Linked DNA regions of Lytechinus pictus. The protein of the gene in region 1 interacts with the protein of each later gene in a pairwise test. Links are inferred from orthologs where the notes say so. Each region holds a gene or a part of one and is shown in the gene's direction. Other genes may lie near its edges. The genes, in order: protein kinase C iota type-like, partitioning defective protein 6-like and protein numb-like.

Region 1 (7,043 bases):
TGGACAGATAATTCAAAGCTTTTAGTTCTAGATCTTTTCCATATATTTTTGAAGAACATTGGAAAAAACATCCACTGTAAAAGGATTGCTTTTCAAATGCACTCACAATTTAAGCTATAATGACACAAAAGTGGCAAGACAGCAGAAATATTTTGTGGTGTAGTCCCATTCATGCATTTATATGTTTGCAGTGCATTAAAATTCTCAGCAGGTCTACTTTAGTCAGTTTTGCAACATTGACTACTTTAGTCAATTGCAAAATCTTACATCATTATGATATTTGATAGTTGTATGTAGAATAATCTGCAAATCTATCAGGAATTAGATGTTTCCCTATTTTCTTCAACCTTCAAATATCTTTAAATCCAAGACCTTAATACGAAGGGTACAGCATAGTCCTATATGAAGGGTCAGAGGTCTCAACTGAGATATAGTGATAAGTGATTATATCATAGAGATAATGGCCTCGTTATCAAGCCCAGTAAGAGCAAAGAAGCACAGCTGACCTGATTAAAGTTTATTATTTGACTTTTAATGATGTAAATTGGTTAGGGAAAAGCAGATAAGACACCCTTGGCTGTGTGTAGTGTAGAAACATCTATTGGCTAATTAAACACGCAAGCTTAGGGTATTTGCACTCTTCCTTATGTGGTCTGTTCATATTTTCACCAGTGTAGCAATCCAATGCCAGTTAAGCATTTGTTATTCTGCCAAAGTGATGAAAACCTCTATTCTTGTTATGCTAACAGGCCGCTGAAAGGGTCATACCCCACCCCCACTTATTTTTCAGTATGTATACAGAAACTTGAAAATTACCCATTTGTGATTGTATACATGTTCAGCCCCCCCCCCCCTCCTTTTCAAATTTGTTCAGCGGCCTCTGCATAGTTTTGGCACAACTATATATTCAATCTGGTGTTAGTGTAAACCGTCTATCTGTGTTGGTTACAGCATTGGACTGGCATCAGTGTTGTGTTGGTGTTGGTCTGCTCCTGGACAGGGTGCGAGTCTGGTGTAGGACTCAGTGCTATTGTGGTGATAGACTAAGTCTTATGTTAGACTTGGAGTCGGTTCTGTATTAGACTTGATTTCTGTTGTTAGACTTGACATCAGTTTGGTGTTACAGTCTGGTTTCTGTCCAGCGTAAGTTTAGTGTCATTCACGTATCAATCTGGCGTTGGTTTGCATCATCATTATGACTGCATGCTGTAATGTCTCTTCTGCATTTCCTCCATGTCCAGTAAGGTCACTCATAGTACAACTGTCCATTGAGTGACCTTATGCATCAGGCATGTATGCACACCACTTGGCAGTGTTCGACACTGAAATATTGTTCAAATAGCTGTAGCTGAAAACCACCACCAATCGACCATAGCATATTTTTATGCCTGCTTGGCTTTGAGCAAATAAGTCATACATGTACAATTCATATTCCACGGCAATAACATCTGACTCAAGAATGGAATATTTTTTGGTGATAAAGGTAAGGTATGCATGAGTAGTGAATGTTTGATTAAAGGCCTACCACAATTCAAGGATTTGATCAAAATAGCTATCACACCATTCTACACGTATCAGTCTATGTGGAAAATAGTGTTGGAGTCATTAGTATTGGTGTGTAAACGGGAGACTCTTCGTAAGGCGAGTGGAGAACACAGAAATCTGTTCGACTTAGCCAAAATTTAACTTTTAAGATGTAAATGAGCATTGTTTTATGGAATCTGGTCTGAAAGTGAAACAATGCTTCAAGTTATTGACTTATCGATTGATTGATTATTTGATTGATAGATTTCATTTCTCATGATAAAACACAGTAAAAAATAAGTGCATATGGAAGGTTGACTCATATATAATCTACTGTACCACTGGATGGTAATTTGTATAAGATTTCTTTTTTTTTTAAGAAGACTAGGATATTAGTATAAAAAAATATGGTGTTATGATGTCCTTCACACTTGTGTTTTCTACGCATACTTCTCCAGGGATTGGTGTGAGATCTAAAAAAAAATAACGTCTCCAAATCGTTGTTTCTCATGGTCTGAACACAGTGGTTCCCTTCTCACCTGTCTTTGCTACACATACTCCAACCCTCAATGGACGGAGATCCATTTGGCGCGCCCCAATTTGACCGATTCTCTGGGGTGCGCGGTGACATTCCCACGTAACGCATACGTCGGTATCGATCCAAGCGTCAATTATGTAAATCACATCTTTTCTCTGGACAATTCCGGAGCATGACCAGACATTTTGCCGGTGTATTCATGGGATATCGTTAGTGGATTCTCGGCTATAAATGATGAAATGATGCAAACATGGAACCATATTGAAAAGCAATAGGCGTACATGTTCTCTGTGCATTTTCTAATAGACAGATTAAAGATTAGATTTTAAATAGCTGTCTTTGAATTTGTGAAGACAAAGACAAATATTTATCTAGTTTTGAGGTTACTTGACATTACAATTTTCATAAAGCCATGGATGCTTTTAGAACACTATTAGGGATAAAAGACTGGACAATTCAGCCTTATGACATATATTAAGTGGTCATTAATCAAAGTTTAGATTCATAAAAGCATGAATTTTAGCATTGATTCCCTTCACACAATTGAACATTAATTATGTCAGGTTATTGGGGGAAAATTTGGCTGCAGTCCCATGCCTTCAATTCAGTATTTGCTTGAAGATCATATTTCCGCACTCCTTAGTAGCTAGTCTAACCCTGACAACATTTGTGCATTAATTTCCTTGAGCCTCGCCTCATGATCATGACCAAGAGGTCTTCAATTAATTAGTTCCTTCTCATGTTTCCTATAATGACTGCCGATGCCGACCATGACCAAATTAAGATGATCTTGAGGAATTGTATAGTGCCTACATGTATAGAGACTTGACAGATAGCACACAGATGCATTGAATACACAGTACATCACATAGAGATACATGTGCAATTTTGTTGTCATATATTGTTTTTGATGCTACTAAAGTAATTTTCAAATTAAATGAGCAGAAATCTTCAAGTTGAAATGGCTACATTTTTACACAATAAATTGAGAAAAATATAATCGGGACTCCTTTTCCACTGCTTTTATAAGTAATACTTTTTATGTTCATTCTAATTTCATATTTCAGTGGCGATATATTTAATTGTATTCAAGTAATTAATACTAGAAAGTTTATTTATAATGATTCTGATTGATATAACTTGGTAGTAATCTTTGCATCAATATTTTTTTTTACTGTACTTAAAATAAAACCTAATGGGAGTCTTAGAAAAATGTAACAGATATTGAGGATATTATTTAGGGGAATTTATAAACATTGCATGGAAAATATAACTTTTTTTCTAAATAAGGCACATCTGTTGGTATTCTCATAATAGTACAGCTTATTACCCCTTTTGGAATTATGATAACAAGTTTGTGCAGTTACTGTATATAGTGTCATTACTGTACTGTAAGTAACATTTAGTGACTGCATGTCTTCATTTGATCTGAATAAAAATTGAATATCGTGGATTTGCAATAAATCTGTAAATAATTGATAGTATGCCTACCAAATGAATAATATCTGATTTTCTGACAACATTATTGAATAAAAAATGTCATATTCGGTGAGCTGAAAATAAAGGTCATCTGACCCAGAGTGAAGGGGCAGGAGGGGGAAGGGAGCGTGATTTATTCAGTTGGCGTACAAATATTCTGCTAACAAGATTAGGAGGCAACAAGTTATTGTTTATTTCAATGAAGCAAGCTAATTATAGACTTCCCGCTACTATACATGCATGATAAAGATTAAATGTATATCTGTCTCGTAGAACGCACAAGTATGCTGTGTTACCCCCAGGCCCTCGTCCCCCTCCCCCCAACGATTGCTACATGGGGTGACGGGGAAGGGGGATCGTGTGGCTGTCATGTCATACGCGTCGTGCCTGCGAGTCAGCGAAGTGACAGCTGAGTCGGTCTTCCTCTCTCGGAGAGCCGATACATTTGGCCGGTTGACGCTAGTACTTTAGAATGTTGGCATGAGCTCACGCTTTGAAGATTTCAATCAAGGATGCACATTTGCTCTCTCACTCATCCAACAAGAGAAAGACAGAGCGAGAGAGAAGGACAGTCTGAGGATAGACATCATGTGTCAAGCTTGTATGTTTCGTTGTTTTTAGATTGATTTAGCATTCCTGGCATAGCAGCACAGTGCTTTCATTGCATTAACCGGTTGTCGACGGTTGCTTGCTCTGTGTGTTCACTCAGTGTACATTCCCCATAAGCAGAATGTGTAACAGCGGTGGGATACTGCTATTTGTATGTGGTTTGCGTGCAACCTTCTCTCAGCCCATCATGCATTCATGAGTCGAGAGCCAAGCCTGTATACCCCCCTGACACAAACATGTTTGCGTTTCCAACCATATTTTGTGGACAAACACGAAAATGAAATATTAGTCAGTGAAAATAGGCCCAGCTGCAAGGAGGATCTTCATTACTGTGTAGCTCATTTTGCCATGGAATCACGCGGATAATTTTTGTCTCTGGAAATCACTCCTTGGCGTCGCACAGATGGACATCCGAAAGGCGAGGATACTCTTTCAAGGGTACGTTCTCCGGCTGGTGAAATGTGAGTGATGAAATATAGACGGGTGAGCGAGTGTCGTCGATTTCTCTGAAATCTGTTTGCTTGAATGTAGAATCCTGTGTAGCTCCTGTACTGTCTTTGCTGTCATGTGGATCCATACTAGATAGTTCATTACCAGTCCGAAAGAATCTCTCAAAGCAGGTTTTGTATTGAATTGCAAAATCTACCAAAAGGATATGGTGGCTAACACTACTAGATCTACATCTAGTAGGTTTTTTTATATCAGAAAAAGTAGGACATGATTGTGTCGTGTATTCCATTTCCCAGGGAATGGTTCTGGCTGTTTTCAGAGAAAATGAAATAAATCAGGCGAGGGGGGAAAAGGATAGAATCCATTCTTTCTCACAATTTGATCGATAACAATGAAGCAGAATGCTGGCATGAACGAATAGATTTTGGTTGTGGCATGTGAATATAATGATGCTAACGCTGTATGGGAAGCTGTGTGGGAATATGCATGTGAATTGTGGGTAAAGTTGCAGTACACGGTAAGTTGGCAAGTTTCTACTGTCTTAAAGACAATTCCCTGAATTTGACATTGGTTTAAAAAAGACAACATCTCTGTTATTTGGAATTCAATAATTGTCCCTAAATATAGTTTCAAAATGTCACTTGCCATATTATGCCTTTAGGCCCTAATGTAGGCCCACTAATAACAAAAACCAAATGATGACCTCTTTCCTTTTGAAGTTGACTACAAACCAACAATAAAGAAGGTTTAACTTAATTGCTATTAATTATCAGAGGTAACAATTATCAACTCAAACTCCCTCCTCGTATATATATTCAAGCCTTATGCATCAGAGAAATGGAATCCCCCGTCTCCCTCTTAAAGTATAAAATCATATGCATAAACTGCATACAGACTAGTCACTGAACCTGGAGGTATGTGGGGCGCTCAAGGCCGACACCCTTGCAGTTGTCATTTCGATGAATCCCTAGGTCTCTCTGTCTTTGAACGATAAACAAGTCCTATAGATGAGACATAAACAGAGATTGACTTGCTAAACCACACTGGTAATCACACAGTGCTGTGTAGTATATGGAGTACTTAAAAAATACATATTCCATATGTTGGCCTTTTTACTTTCGCAGGCCTACACTGCCCATGCAATTTGTGTCTTTGCTGCCTGGCTTTAAAATCACTCGATGGAGATACGTGTAGTCTATGATGAGCTAGCTTTCAATTAAAAATACACTGCATTATTGAATGGGTACTCTTCTGGCCTTTCCAGTGCCTGGGTCCCTTAACACAAAGGTTAGCGATTAATCGCTAAATGAAATGACCTATCACGATCATCGTTGCATACACATTTTGCTCTGTTGATTGATTAAGAACCAATCAGAATTGCTCTTTCAAATTAGCCATTAATTTGCTAACCCTTGTGTTACTGGGCCCTTGTCAGGCTTTGCTTTCTCATTCTTGGAATCTGCATCAAATATTGAAAGTCTCATTTGGAGCAAAGATGAACAAAAAAATATATTGAAGAAGCATTAAAAATGAAATGAAAGTATTAATAGAGAGAATAAAAAGGTCCATTGCAAATTATTTATAAGTTTATACAAATACCCTGACAATCATCTGATCAGTGAAAGCTGGAATGGTCAGGATGACAATTTGTAGTCTCATACATATGTGTTTGTGTGCGGTCCATGGCTGTGGAATCAATCAAATTACACTATCATTATAATTTGAATTATTGTTTTATTATTTTAATTATTGCTTGTTTGATCAATCTACAAAAAACATATAGCCTATGATAAACAACCATTCGTACCTACAGTTGTTAATAAAAAAAATAACAATCAATTTTCAATCATTTTGAGCCTTTTTTTCCCTTCACAATTCAGCTATTAGTATCAGGCAGAATTGAGGTTTATCTTTAACATTCGAATATGCATTTGTTCAGTCTTCTAATTCAAGAAAAATGATGTTTGGTTTTATATTTTCAATTTCCTGTGCCTCATCTTTATCTCCCAATAAAATATGCCTCTTAAATACATACCTTCATTTTTTTTGTGGGTTTTGTAGAGTCTAGCAGGGATCTCTCTGCTCTCCTTATAGTATTTTTCTTCCAGCTCATTAATCAGTCCATTAGTATGAGAGCTCTCAAAATGCCATTGCTGTTTAGGGTAAATATCGTAGATTGCCAATCTACTATTTATACACCTTTCCATTTACTCAGTCCCCATTTTTTTCTTTTTACTCCATGTTTCTATACTTTTCTATCTTCTGTTGCTTTGCAATTTATTGTATAAATTGTGAAAATCTTTTTTAATTATTGATTGTTACCTATAAGCCTACAGTATATTTGAAATGTGAAGATAAATAGACCTTTTCCCATTTGTGCCTACAAAAAAATGACTATTTGAAACGGCCTGTAATATGTAATACATGTTAATTGATATTGTTT
Region 2 (7,147 bases), on another chromosome or scaffold:
AATTCGCGATTTGTGATATTTTCAGTGGGTTGCTCGGTGAATTTTACTCTTCATTTTATTTAAATATAATTATTTTTCAGCCAGGGGTGCCCTTTTAAACGTACGGTTAGGCCTAAGATGTGTCTATTTAACTATTATAGTCGAAACAAAAAAACTCGAAGGATTCAAGTTTACTTTATCAAGATTTTGAAAACATATTTGCTGTAAAAGGCCTTCACTTTGTACATCTAAATGTTAGATCTATTCTACCAAAAATTTCAGAACTTCGAATTCTTTTTAAGAGAAAGAATCTTGCAGTCATTGCTTTCACAGAAACATGGCTAAATAACTCGGTGAACGATGAAGAAATCAATATAGATGGATACAAAGTAATACGCAATGATAGATTATCAGGTTCTGGGGGTGGTGTATGTTTTTATGTCCGAAATGATATTGCATTCAATATCATAGATGTTTTAAGTACAGGTGATTCTGAATCACTGTGGATTAATTTGCTTCTACCAAGATCAAAACCAATTATTGCTGGCGTCATTTATAGGCCTCCGAAAAGCAATCAATTTATTGAGAAGATGTCAAATATTCTCGATATATTAAAGAAAGATGATGAAATTATACTTTTAGGCGATATGAATGTTTGTCTTTTTCAGAAATCTCCACTGGCTAAAAAATATACTGACTTATTGAGTCTTCATGGATTTAGCCAACTCATCAAAGATGCAACCCGTGTCACTCACACATGTTCTTCTTTATTGGACCATGTGATTTGTAATAACGAACAAAAAATAAGTCAAAGTGGTGTTATTGATCTTGGTATAAGTGACCATTCTTTTACTTTCTGTACACGAAAGAAAATTAGGCTGGCTATAGGTGTTCACAGAACCATTGATATCAGATCGTTGAAAAAATATAGCGAAGAATCTTTCAATCTTAAACTGTCTGCCGTTGATTGGTCAGATTTAACCCAATGCACTGACGTAAATAAGGCTTGGTCAGTTTTTCAAAATACTTTTATTTCAACGTTGAATATGATAGCGCCTCAAAAACGGATTAGAATTAAACAGAGATCAGAAAACTGGATGACTAAAGATATTATTTCTCTTATTCGAGAAAGAAATGTGGCGTATAAAAAAATGAAGAAAAATCTAAGCGGTCAGGATTATGACACGCTTTCCAAAAGATACAAGAAATTAAGAAATATGGTTCAAAGAGAGGTGAAAAAGGCCAAATTAGAATACCTACAAAATAAAATAGAAGAAAATAAAAATGATTCTAAAAGACTTTGGCAGAATCTAAAAAGTTTGGGATTAAAAAAGAAAAATGGAAAGGACCAAGAATTAGTCGTTTCAATTGACGGAGAATTATGTCATGATAAGATAACTATTTCCAATGAATTCAATTCCTATTTTACAAATGTCGCAGCTACGTTGGTAGATAAACTTCCATCTTGCAAAGATATTTTCAGTGCAGACAGTGAAAACATTCGTAAATTTTATGAAAAAAAGGGTATAAGCCAAGATAAATTTGAATTATTACCTGTTAGTGATCAATTCATTTTTAATGAGTTGCGTAAATTAAATGTATCAAAAAGCACTGGGTTAGATTTGATACCTGCTAAATTTCTAAAAGAAGGAGCAAAGAGTTTGTACAAACCATTAAATTTCTTAATAAATCTATCTATCTTTACTAGCACTTTCCCAGAGGATATGAAAATTGCAAAAGTAACTCCTATTCATAAGAAGAAAGATAAAACTGCTGTTGAAAACTATAGACCTATCAGTGTTTTAAGCATAGTATCCAAAATTCTAGAAAAGGCGGTATGTGTTCAGATCGAAAAATATTTTAAAGAAAATGATATGATTTACGAGTCAGGTTTTCGACATGACTATTCGACTGAGACATGCCTTATTCACTTGACTGATTATCTGAGAACAAATATGTCTAAGGGACAATTCGTTGGGATGGTACTCCTAGATCTTCAAAAAGCATTTGATACAGTTAATCACGGCATCTTATTGAAAAAATTACAAATAATGGGTTTTAACCAGGCTACTGTAGCATGGTTCAAATCCTACTTGTCGAATCGACATCAAGTAGTGGCTATTCGCGATATTTGTTCCAAAATTATGCCTATAACGTGTGGAGTTCCACAGGGAAGTATTTTAGGCCCAATCCTATTTTCAACTTATATCAATGACATGTCTATTTGTTTAAAAGCTGATTGTAAATTATTATTGTATGCAGATGATAGCGTACTACTTTGTTCAAATGCCAACCCAAAATTTGTTGAGGAAAAACTTAGCGAACAGCTGTCTACATGTGTCGATTGGATGACTGATAATAGATTATCGTTACACTTAGGCAAAACCGAAAGCATTCTGTTTTGTTCTAAAAGTAATCATAAAACTTCATTTGAATTTGAAGTATCATACAATAATAAGATAATTCATAGGAAAGAATCTGTAAAGTATTTAGGCATTGAGTTGACTAGCTCCCTTTCATTTTCATCTTTAGTAGAATCAATCGTAAAAAGGGCGAATGCCCGTTTGAAATTTTTGTACAGGTATCAAAGTTGTATGGATCAAAAAGCAAGGCGTATTCTCTGTTTTGCTCTTATTCAGAGTTTATTTGACTATGCCAACCCTGCTTGGTTTAGTGGCATAAGCGAACTCGATAAAAAGAAGTTGAAAATTATACAGAATAAAATGGTTAGATTCATTAGCTGTTCTGGTCCCAGAACCCATGTTGGCTACACCGAACTCTCTGGAGCAGGTTTTCTTGAAGTCAACAAAAGATCAAAACAGCTTATTTTGCACCACGTGCATAAAATCTATCACAATAGATCGAATCATTACATTGGATCAAACTTTAATCTAGTTACCGAAATACATAACTATAATACAAGAAACAGCCATTTCAATTTTTGCTTACCAGAAAGGGTAGGTAGTATTGGTAACTCATTTTATTACAATGCTATAAAACATTGGAATTCCCTTCCCAATGATATAAAGGAAATAGGAAACTTTTTGCATTTTAAGAGGAAATTGAAAGAATATCTTTCACTTGAGAGTCAAAAAGAAGATGCAAATGATATGTTGTACGGTTGATTTAGCCTGAATACTGACCTAGTTCTTTTCTCTTCTCTACTTGGTATTATTATGTATTTTACATAGTTTGATTGAAGCTTCGATATGTCCTTTCTTCTATTCTTTCTATTTCTTTTATTTCTTCCTATTCTCCTCTTCTTGTTGTTATTGTCGTCACGTTTATGCTGTTGTTCTTCTCCTTATTTATTTCCCTTCGTTGTCAGTTTCTTCCGTCTCCTTCTACTCCTCGTCCCCCTCTTCTTCTGTTCCTCCTCTTCCTTCTCCTTCTTTTCTTCTTCTTCTTCGTTATATTCTTGTATATATCTTATTTATTGTCTATATATCTTATTTATTGGTAATAGTAAATTCTGATTTTTTTTCTTCATTTTTAATATGTAAATAGTATAATTTTAACATTTTATTATCTTAATTCTGTATATTGAGGACCCCACTGGAAATAAGCTTTCGAGCTTTCGTGGGTCATCCTGTGCAAGCCTGTTGTTTTAATGCTACTGTATATATGTTATGGTGACTTGCCAAATAAAATCAATCAAATCAATCAATCAATCAATCAATCAATCGAACCGCGGACTTCGTCATGCAGATACCACTATAGTGTCGAGAAGTTAAAAGGAAATGGCGCCATCCTACACTTTGCACGCCCAATCCAAAGGTGTGTCCCTTTATGACTCAACTTTGTTCTCACACACACCCACATGAAATAGAATAAATTAATTTTTTCTAATTGATGATGTTAATTAACAGAGCCTTTTCTCTAGAATACATTGAAGAAAAATACTGGGGAAATTCGATGTTGAAACAAGGGGCACCACGGGGGCACCAACAGTACCAAGTTGACTGGTTGGCGGAAGTAATTTGGAAGTGGGTTTATATCTGACGTCACAGCCAACTGATGTATCAGCGACATCACATCAACCCGTAATTTGTCAATTTGATTACCTCTTTGGAAGGAAATAGGAAGCAATAGGATTACTCTTTGGAGAATTGATGATTTCCCGCTTCAAATGCGGGATTCGGTGGGCATTATGGCGAAAAATGGATCCACGACAATGCTCAATGGGAGCAACAGATGGGCTAAAGGACTGAAAGAAATCAAAAGCAAGGTGAGTATTTCATTGGTGTTCTCTCAGACTCATGTCTCTGCTCTAGCACTGACACTACCGGTACTCTGTCACAGCAGGCTAGGCCTCCTTCGCGGCCGCGGCGGAGCCGGCGCCCCTTGCCCTTGCTGCTTGTTGCCTGAACAGGCGCTGTCCTCTGGCTCGAGTCTAGACATGGACCAAGATGAATGTTATTAATTACTAACTAAGTCACTATTATTGATAACTGCAATATTATTTTCTTTATCATTTTGAAAACACGACCCAGCTGCCCAGTGTAATAACTTCAAGTCCTTTTCATGAAAGAATCGTACCATAAAAAAAGGAGAATGATCGATACATCATACCGGGCGTAAGGACATTTAATATTCAACCCGTTTGGAGACTTTCCTCAGATATATAGAAATATGGAATTTACCTTAATTTCAGACCTGTCTTATATCCAAGAGCAAATGCTGGTTATTCTTTTTGGAATTTTGCATTATTTTTTTCTTCAACCCGTCGACGCGACTGCCGGGGCGATCAAATTATTCGGCGATGGTTTTGGCACTAGTAAGTACATGTAGTATTCAACCTGTCGCCAGTCGGAAGATTTTTTTTTCAATTATGGAATTGGAAGAAGATCAGAAGGACAAAAAAGAGAAAATAGACATACATAGTTCTAAGTAGGATAAAAGAGAAGAAGACAAATGGAGGAAGAGAAATAGTAGGATGAGGAGAGAATTTTGAATGGCCATTTTCATTTTGGCAGGCTAAAAAGGTCTTGATGGGGGCAGATCACCTATCATTAAGTTCTTCCCATTCATTATTTGCACCACTCTATAAAATTTGAACTACATTTATACAGTGCTTCCCAGAAAAAACGAAACCGAGGTTTAGTGATGATTTATCATAACTTAATCATAAATCTTCTCTTTCAGAAGGTATAACATACAAGATTTCTCATCCACGCATGAGTGAGACAGTGGGTAAAAACAATTTGAAGAAAGGATAGCAAAAAGTCATTTGGCGGGGGGTATCAAAATTAAAAAAAAATCACATGCCTAAAAATTTAAATATCTGTTTTTTAATGTAGCTAAATCGCAGAAAATGGTCAAGAAATAATAAAGCTATGGTTCTTCAAAATAATTCTTGTATTTCCATAATTTCATGAAACATACATGTTTTCACCGGTTTCCCGCAGAAGCTATCGCACGGTTAACAAAAGACTTTATGCATGGCTGATCATCAACAAAACGGATTGTCAAGTAAGTCTGAAAGTTATCCAGTATTAAAACCTCTTCATTTTATGAATTATTGGACTTCAAGCCTTATTTCAAATAAACAGAACTAGGTTTAATACTTCTTGAACGTTTTCTGTTATTGAGGTATCAAATTAAAGAGCAGATATTGAATTTTTTAATGTGATTTTTTTTTTGAAACTCAGATACTGCCCGCCAAGTGACTTTTTGGTTTCCTTTCTTCAAATTTTTTTTGCTCACTCAGGCATGAATGATAAATAATCTTTTTTCAAATGAAAGAGGAGACTCTTCTTTACAATGATAGGTCATTTGTCTATTGTATTTGTGATTAAGTTATGAAAAATCATCGATAAATATCGGTTTCGTTTTTTCTGGGACGCACTGTATACATGTAGTTCAAATTTTATAGAGTGGTGCAAATAATGAATGGGAAGAAATTAATGATAGGTGATCTGCCCCCATCAAGACCTTTTTAGCCTGCCAAAATGAAAATGGCCATTCAAAATTCTCTCATCCTATTTCTCTTCCTCCATTTGTCTTCTTCTCTTTTATCCTACTTAGAACTATGTATGTCTATTTTCTCTTTTTTGTCCTTCTGATCTTCTTCCAATTCCATAATTGAAAAAAAAATCTTCTTCAGCCTGGTGTAGTACAGAAGTAAAGTTAGTACTGTAAAACTATGGTACCATGCCATACAGGTACAATGAATCGCCTTCCTATTGTGTAGGCTACTCTACATACTCTGGAACTCATCCTTGCAAAGGGAAAATATCATTCTGAGCAAAACTTTTTTTTTACAGAAAAGTGATTTTTTTAATGCAAATGTGAATATTGGAGAAAATTATTGAGTGGCTGATGTAACATTCAATTACATGCCTATTCTGCTTTGTATCTGTCGCAAATTTGTAATACACTTGTAAAACTTTATACTAGAGACTATTTTTAGTTTTGGTAATACAATCATAGAGAGCATGTATTACAGAAGGAGATCCTTCTTCCAATTCCTCTGTTAATCCTTTGTTATCGCTTCCCTCTGGCGAAGGAACGATATCTAACATCAATCGGCAAGCCGCCAGGCGAAAGTAAGAGCCCGCTTACGTAACGCAATAAGCCCGCTCGTAAAATCTGAGGTCAGTGATTTTTTTTAAGGTCCCTGCGAGGCACCGCCGAAAACGACGTTCTTCCACATAACTTCGAGCTCTGTTTTTTTCAAAATCGAAACACGACTTGCTGTACTTCCAACATCCATATCACTTCGTACGGATTTCTGTACGTCTTTGATGTATGGTTGAACTTCTGAGATGATCCCCTTTGCATACATACCAAATACGTCACAATCTGATTTGACTCAACAAAATTACAAACGGAGGAACTTTAGAGATTGGTCATTTTAGGTATGTCTGTCTTTCTTCCGTAGTTAAATCTTTTCCTGCTCGTACATGTTTTAGAAATTATAAGGTGAAAAAGCATACTTTGAGCTTAATTTTTATGCAAAGATCATTTGCGTGATTACAATGGCCTTGATACTATAACGACGAATCTACGATCCATTTCTACGTCGATTGATGCATCGTCGAGTATCTTCCAGTGCCCCACGTACTCCTATTTGTGTAAGTTGAAGGTGAGTGTGATGGTTGAGCTCCGAGCTTGCGCACCCAGCTCATTCATACAGTACAGGCCTCAGCTCCGGACCGTTTCGGAA
Region 3 (7,603 bases), on another chromosome or scaffold:
AGGAAGATTAATATTTTTTATACAGTCTTTCTCTTCCAAAAGAATCAGGGAAGATGAATGTATTATATTTTGATTTTCCTTTAAAGAGGAAAGATAAATATACATTAATTAAAACTCGACCAAAACTTAGGCCCTTGTAGATCAACAGATAAAACAAGAAATATAGACCATGAGAGTGACCAGTGGAGAGTTTCATGAATGGACTTATCCGATAAATCCCATTTTATCCGACAGTTACCATAGAAACACTGATTCATAGCCAATCAGCATCACAGAAAAGTTGTCAGATCGGACATCTTGTCGGACAAAAATGTTGATGAAACACTCCCCTGGAGTCCAAATGAATTATACACGCATACATTCACAGGTCAGATAGTAAGAATTTTGAAGAGACATAGAACAAAAAACATGTGTGGGTTGATTGTAGTTTAATTGCAATGAGATGCAGTCAGTTTTTCTTTCCCCTCGTATCTCTCCCCCTCTCTCTCTCTAGCTCTCTCCTTTTTTTATAAGGCCAAGGCCTCTGTTAATATGTTTTGGTTTTGATTGCAGAATAATTCTACCCAATATACCAATGCCAAACATTGAGAGCTGCGTTTATTCTTTAATATATACGTAGGCCTGTATGGCTATATCACAAAGTGTTCGTAAATATAAAACATTCCTCTTTTTCTAAGAGCTTATTATACTTTCAATAAAATGAAATAGAAATTATTGATTCAAAAGCAGTGATTTCTTCGAAAAGAGCAGCTGCTGAAAAATATCATCTGCAAAAGAACGCGGCGCCACGGCCACCCTTTCAGAATGCTGCATATTGCACGTAATTTTGCACAGCCATATCGCGATGCAAGTGTTTTTGTGTGTGTATGGCTTTGTTGTATGGTATACTCGTTGTGTGTGTGTATGTGTGTACGTGTGTACCGGTAATATATGATATTACCGATAATAAGATACCGTGAAGAAATATCAGCAGAAGATAACCCATGCCATGAACCCATGACTGAGCTACGTAATCACACCACAGGAGATAAGCCCTTAAATTTATCAATTTTTATAGAAGGGATTTTCGGAACTTCAACTTGAGGATAAAACCAGCAGATTTAATATTTAGGTATGTATTTTTCTTGCTAGCCGAATTTCAGATTTTTATTTGTCACTGAGACTAATTAACGTTAGTATTAAATTAGATCTAGCCTAATTAGCCGACAAGTATTTATGCGGTATACGGTACCGGAGGCGGAGGGCGCGGATTTAGAGAGGCAGGAGCCTGGGAGGTGGTACCGTATACCGGTACTTTTTTTTTTACGGCGGTAGACAGTTTTAACGTTAGTACCGGTACACGAATCTCAATATGAAAAATGAAAGTTCTCTTTTCTAAAGACTTTGACTCTGAATAGAATGTGCAAGCAAAAAATTGTGGTCTATGTGATATGCGATCCATAATTTCTGCAATCTTCTGTTCTAACTTCTAATTAGATCTAGAAATGTAGAATCTAGATAGATCTAATTCATGTTAAAATTGTTAGAATTATGCATGCCATGACCTTCGATCATTACTTGATAAAGTTTAGCATTGCTACCGTACTTGGTTTTATAATGTTATTCATCAATGACACTTGACAGTTTGCCATGGAGAAGTATGGTTGTTCCTATATGAAAAGGTCATATCTTGTGTGATTTCTTGTCTGAATCAATTTAATCTATCTTAGTTGCTTCAATTCATGATTCTTTTTCATTAAACCTCAACACAATTTTCAAAGATTTCTTGTTTTCTTTGACTTGGCCTTGGGTCTACATTTCATGTTCAAACTTCAAAGTCCATGTTCAGTTACAAATTACATGTACCGGTAGGCATATTTACATGTTGATGATAGTACCTTCTACTTAGATAGTTGTGTACATAGTGTTTCAAGTTTACATGACGCTTTGATACTGTACAAGTCTGTACATGTATCTACATTCATATTTTGCCAATGATTATGATGCACTAATATCTTTTTCAAATTGAAAAACAACAATTTTTCAATTATAAGTCTATGCATTTTGTAATGATGGCCTACGTATGTAAAATATGCAAAGTGGGTAATCCCCCAAAGCTGTGTGTGTTTTTTCTGAGTGTTTTTTAGGCAAAAACACTTTGCCGTAACTTTTCAGGAGCTATCATCTTATATTCTTAACAAAATCATGGAAGAGAACAGTATCAAATTGTTATGATGTGAAGGTATTTTGTGAAGGCTAATGATGTTTACTGTACAACTTTACAATACTAGAATTTACAGTCAAACCCTACTGTAGATACTAATAGGAATTTATGGAATGACATCCAACTAATTTCCAATGACATTTTAACAAATTGAACATTGTACTTCACTGATAAAATCATGCTGTTTTTACCTTGGTCATATTTGCTGCCCTCTGTGATCATGAAAGAGTTTGTTTTCATTTGGAAACCTTTGCTTTTGCTTTCATAGGACTTCATAAAGGAGTGAAAATGTGACAAGGATGTGGAGGGAAAATAAACCCCACTACCCACAGGAAATACATTTTGAAATATTAAATCGAGAAGTTAAAGCAATCCATGGAAAATCACCATTTTGATTATAATTCACATTATTGACCTTTTACCAGGCTTTTATAGGCTATATTAAACATTTCATCTGACATTTTGTTAAAGTATCTTATTTTAACAAAAGTACCCTCTTTTTAATTAATGTTTTTGGGGTAAAATAGTTTTGGAGGGATATTTATTAATTTATGAATATTAAATTTTGTCTAGCAAAATGTGATATTTTGTCATGATTTTTCCTTGGGACTTAACAAATTTTCACATATTTGTTTTGTCACTTTTATACCCTTTTGAAGTTTTGTGGATAGTACGTACTCCCTATATTTGAGGAGTGCTGGGAGCATACCATTATGATCTAGATCAATGGATTGAAGGAAATAGGTCCATGCACTGATAAACAGATTGTTGTAAAAATAGAAAAACAAATATTTGAGAACGTTTGAGGAAAATCCATCAAAGATTTATAAAGTTATTAGAATTTTCTTTTTATTTGAGACATCACATGAGAGCAGCTTCCCATGTATGGTGAAGGGTTTATTGTACCTTCATTTTGATCAACAATCTATTTCACAGGCACTCCTGAAAAAAGAAAATTTCTAGCCATCTCCCATTAAAAATTGAAATCGATACATTTTATATTACATGGCAATACATGTGAGACAGCTGCTTGTATATGATGTCACCATGGAGCTGTTCTCTGTAATAGCTCCATGATGTCACAAATTGAAAACTTGAAATTCTAATAACAATCTTTAAATTGATTTTCCTCAATCCTTCATAAATATATTTCTTATTATTTTTCCGGTATTTTTATAACAAACTTATATGTCAGAGGGAACTTCCCCTGTGAAAGAAATACCTGTACCTGGACATCATTTTTTTTTTTGTAAGTTGAAATATTAAGTAATTCTGTAATTCACAAGTCTATTTTCTTTGTTTGTAGTATATGTACTTTGTATCCTTTATTGTAAAGCGCATAGAGAAACTTTCAGTTTATTATGCGCTATATAAGAGAAGTATTATTATTATTATTATTTTTGTTTGTCTTTTAATGAATACTCTTATAAAATTCATTTTGATCAATGTGCATTTATAAACTCAAGATGAAATTTGAAAAAATAGGATAAAGTTTATTTTTGAAAAAATTAGTATAATGAATAAAATATTGAAGTAACTTTAATAGTCCTTTCAGATGAAAACAGATGTATACATTCTCATAGTAGGCAGGTCTAAAACATAATGCGATGATTTGATACCTTGTGGCAAGGAGGTCTTTGATATCTATCCTATCAACCCCTAAAGATATTGATTGGTTTATAATCCACCAAATTGCCCAATGCAGTGGGGCTTATTTTCTTGTACCTGCATATTGTATTTGTGTCCTATATCTCAATTTACCTTTTAAGAGCTGAGACTAGATTTATAGAGGGAACAATTCCTGTAAAAGAATGGTTTTAGGACTTCTAGCCTTTGATCTTTCCTAGAATGAACCTAATCCATTTGATGAATAGTGACAATCTGTTTGTAGAATTGAATATAACACACCCCCTCACCTGGCTTGTTGACTGCTCAGTGATTCAAAGAGGTAATAAATGTGTGTTTACACCAGGTTTATGCAGTGTTTCCCCCCAAAATGAAACATTTCCCTAAAACTCTTAAATATGGAGTTATGTGATTCCAGGAATGTGTTGAGGTAATCCCGTTAGAATAAACAATTTGAGACTGGATTGAACAGAAATTAGGTTTTAGTTTCATTCCAGTTTGGTATACATGTACATGTACATATAGAAATGATTGCATAGTTTTGAGATGCTTCATGGGGTAGGTTATGACCCCCATAGGGATGGTCCATTAGGAGTAGTAAATGCACATACCATTTTGTTTTAGGGGTGTTTCAGAGCCCTAAGCTTATGTGAAACTTAGCAACTGCTTAATTTGTGTTTATCCAAAGAGTGTATTGCTCGTGCACTCATTGAAGTGCAGTGTAATTATGAGTCACCTTCAAAATCAGAATGTTTCATGAAAGCAGAGCTTTTGTAGGATAAATGGCAGACAAGCATTGTTCTGTAGACCATACATCCCTCAATTTAGCTTAGTGTAGCTCACCATGCATACATACAAAACACAGACAGGCTTGGGTAATCCATTTGAAATGCTCCCCCACTGTTTGAATACTCTAATCTCAACCTAAGCACTCTGGTATGTGAGAAAGTTATTTGCATGGGTTTTGGGGGGTTACTGAAGCATCCTAAAACTTTGTATACACAAACTGCACTATTGGTCAGTCAGTATTGTATTAGCACAGGGAAGTACTACACATTGAGGATTCTCTCATTGGCTGTGTTTTGTTATACTACAACTACAAGTAGAATGAAGTATCTGTGCCACCTATGTCCTCGCCACCTTTACCTCTAAACATTGTGGAATATTCATTGGATATAAACAGTGGTCTTCTTCTCATGTATTATACTAGTTAACAACAGAGTAAAGTCATATCAGAAGAAATCAAGATGGGAAGACTCAAGTGAGTATAAAGTTAATATACTGTACATTGACCTATGTATTGTTACAGCCAGGTGTTTTCATTTGACCTTTTATTTATTGTAGATTTAAGTTTTAATTCGTTCTTTTAAAAACAATTTTGAGAACAGGAATCTTTCCTAATTGAGCAGCAGGCAAATCACATTTTACTCATTTTTATCATAAAAATGTAATTAAAATACTAGGTTTATTGCCTCCTTGGACATGTTGGAGTCCTGACTCTTCAGGCCATTTATATTATAATAATTAGGCTACACTGCTACATATATGTGTTAATAACATATTTTCCCTTACAATGTACATTGGGGATTCGTGAGGTGTCAAGTTTTTTTTGCTCACACTAGACTTTGTTGTTTGTATCGTGTTTAATGCATTTGTTGATTTTAGTTACAAGTTTGACTAAATTATTGAAGATTTTCCTTCATTTCAGAATTTTTTTGTTTTGAAAGTTTACACATACATTTTGTTTTTCTTGTTGGCTTTTGTGTAGACAACATCTACATATACATTGTAATTCAGTTCAAACATGAACTGAATCCAGGCAATTTAAGTAGCTACATTAGCTAATATGCCATGCACTCCTCAATTTAGCAAAAATCCTACATGTAAATGCTGGATATCCAAAAAGTGTGGAGCGAGGCGGAGGTACATGTATGAAAGTACAGAGTGAGGTGAAGGTATAATGTCTTCATAGAGCACATGATTATGCCATCAGTTAACTTGTGTGTGTATTGGTAATAGCATCAAGCCACACTCTATGCTAAGCCGACAATGTAGCACCTGTAGACACATTTAAATGCTGCTCTTGATAGCTACAGTGTAATTATTTGAAAAAAATATTTTTCCAGTTCTGAATTGATACAGCGTAAATTCTATTGATATGGGACCTAAGTAAATTTCGGCAATAAAGAAACAAACTAAATTTTCATAGGTCAAGTAGATTTGATGGCAAGTGGGCACTACTGTATATATCGAAAAGCTTGCACCTGAATATTATACTTGCTCAGATCAGAATTTTATTACTGTGTATTTTACTGGTAGGCCTCAGTAAACTGCAATGAAATAAATAGATGGGAGGACCATTGAATTGTAGCTCAACCCAAGAATAATGAGATAGAATAACAAATTTTGTCATTCTCCAAAAAATACCTGTCTTACTGGTGGTACTCCGGGCTGAAAATAATCTAAATAGAGTAAAATTAAGCAAACAAAACCCTGAAAGTTCCATCAAAATCTGATCACAAAAAATGAAATTAGTTGAATAATCTAGAATTTATGGCATCATGATGTCATGAAAATGCAATAGATGGGCGGATGTCATGTCCTTACTTTCTTAAAATCATAATTATTTCATATATGAGTATGGTACATGTATGTCTCCCAAGAGTCCCATGCAACAAAATAAGTTGCAGCAATAATTATCTTACACATTGAAATATTGAATCAATAGTCAATATTTTTTTTTCAATTCTTGGAGGACAAAATTTGAAGAAACGATTTCATAATGATAATAGAAAAAAGTGGGGATACATGTATGATATCAGCTTGCTCATTGCCAGGCATATACATGTACATTGTAGAACTGTTCCGCTATTAGAAACATGCAAAAGTTTGAATTGAAATAACTTTTTTGATGAAATTTTCAAATTATATTATTTTCATCCTGTAGTACCCCTTTAAAATTCATCACTATCTGAAAAGCATTCGAAGCTGATGCCTGATGGGGACTGGAAAATTCCTGGAGACCCTTTAAATATTGCTGATTTTTACATTTACATGTAAATGATGATTTCTATACAACCTTTCTTTTTAGTTTTCTGTATTCGATATAATTTTTCTTGATTTTTTCATATTTTTAGCCTCTTATTTTTCATGTTTTATAAGTTATTTAAGCCTATTCATTTACCATAATTTCTTTTATTTCATATATTTCAGGGATTTTATACACCTGTTCATTATTTCACTCTCTATTTTTTAACTGGATTATCTGCCCATTGGTGAAAAACAAACAGCTCTCAGCCCATGCAAGAAAGGACATTTCATGTTTTTTCTTTGGTTGAAATCAAAAGAAAAAGAATGAGATTAGAATAAATGTTGTTAATTTGCAATTTTGCTTAGTTTTCCTTTGGCAGATTTCTTTACAGAGCACATGTACATGTACATGTTACAGTGTACATGTACATGTTACAGTGTACATGTATTGCCAATCTGCATTATCTGAGTACAGGTTCATGCTGTAAATTATAATCCTAGGATACATGCCATTCTGATGAACTTTGCATGACAAATTTAGTTTATCAGCTTTATCTGCAGATAAGTGATGACCAAAGATAAGTGGATTAAATTGAAGCAGTGTAGTGGAAGTTTAATTAATGATGCTGGCTGCCTGTATTTCTTGAATTGAATACTGATTTGCTGCCCTAGAAAGAAATAGTTAAAACATGGAGCTACATGTATTACTCCATGGTTAAATTGTTGTACATAACATGTTGAAAT

Evidence for each region.
Region 2: the proteins of protein kinase C iota type-like (region 1) and partitioning defective protein 6-like interact in binary tests that used the Caenorhabditis elegans proteins (3 or more experiments, as listed by UniProt). The link is inferred for Lytechinus pictus from reciprocal best matches to the Caenorhabditis elegans genes pkc-3 and par-6.
Region 3: the proteins of protein kinase C iota type-like (region 1) and protein numb-like interact in binary tests that used the Caenorhabditis elegans proteins (3 or more experiments, as listed by UniProt). The link is inferred for Lytechinus pictus from reciprocal best matches to the Caenorhabditis elegans genes pkc-3 and num-1.

What each region holds. Positions count from the first base shown.
Region 1 is NC_087258.1:8,748,265-8,755,307, reverse strand, and holds the start of protein kinase C iota type-like, read left to right. Parts: upstream 1-3,952; 5' UTR 3,953-4,553; coding exon 4,554-4,611; intron 4,612-7,043.
Region 2 is NC_087246.1:69,801,109-69,808,255, reverse strand, and holds the start of partitioning defective protein 6-like, read left to right. Parts: upstream 1-4,129; coding exon 4,130-4,207; intron 4,208-7,147. UniProt on the Caenorhabditis elegans protein: Necessary for apicobasal and anterior-posterior asymmetries associated with cell adhesion and gastrulation during the first few cell cycles of embryogenesis. Required for localizing/ maintaining par-3 at the cell periphery.
Region 3 is NC_087251.1:3,401,058-3,408,660, reverse strand, and holds the start of protein numb-like, read left to right. Parts: upstream 1-4,602; 5' UTR 4,603-5,076; coding exon 5,077-5,090; intron 5,091-7,603. UniProt on the Caenorhabditis elegans protein: Involved in the tethering and targeting of pkc-3 to modulate the intracellular distribution of the kinase.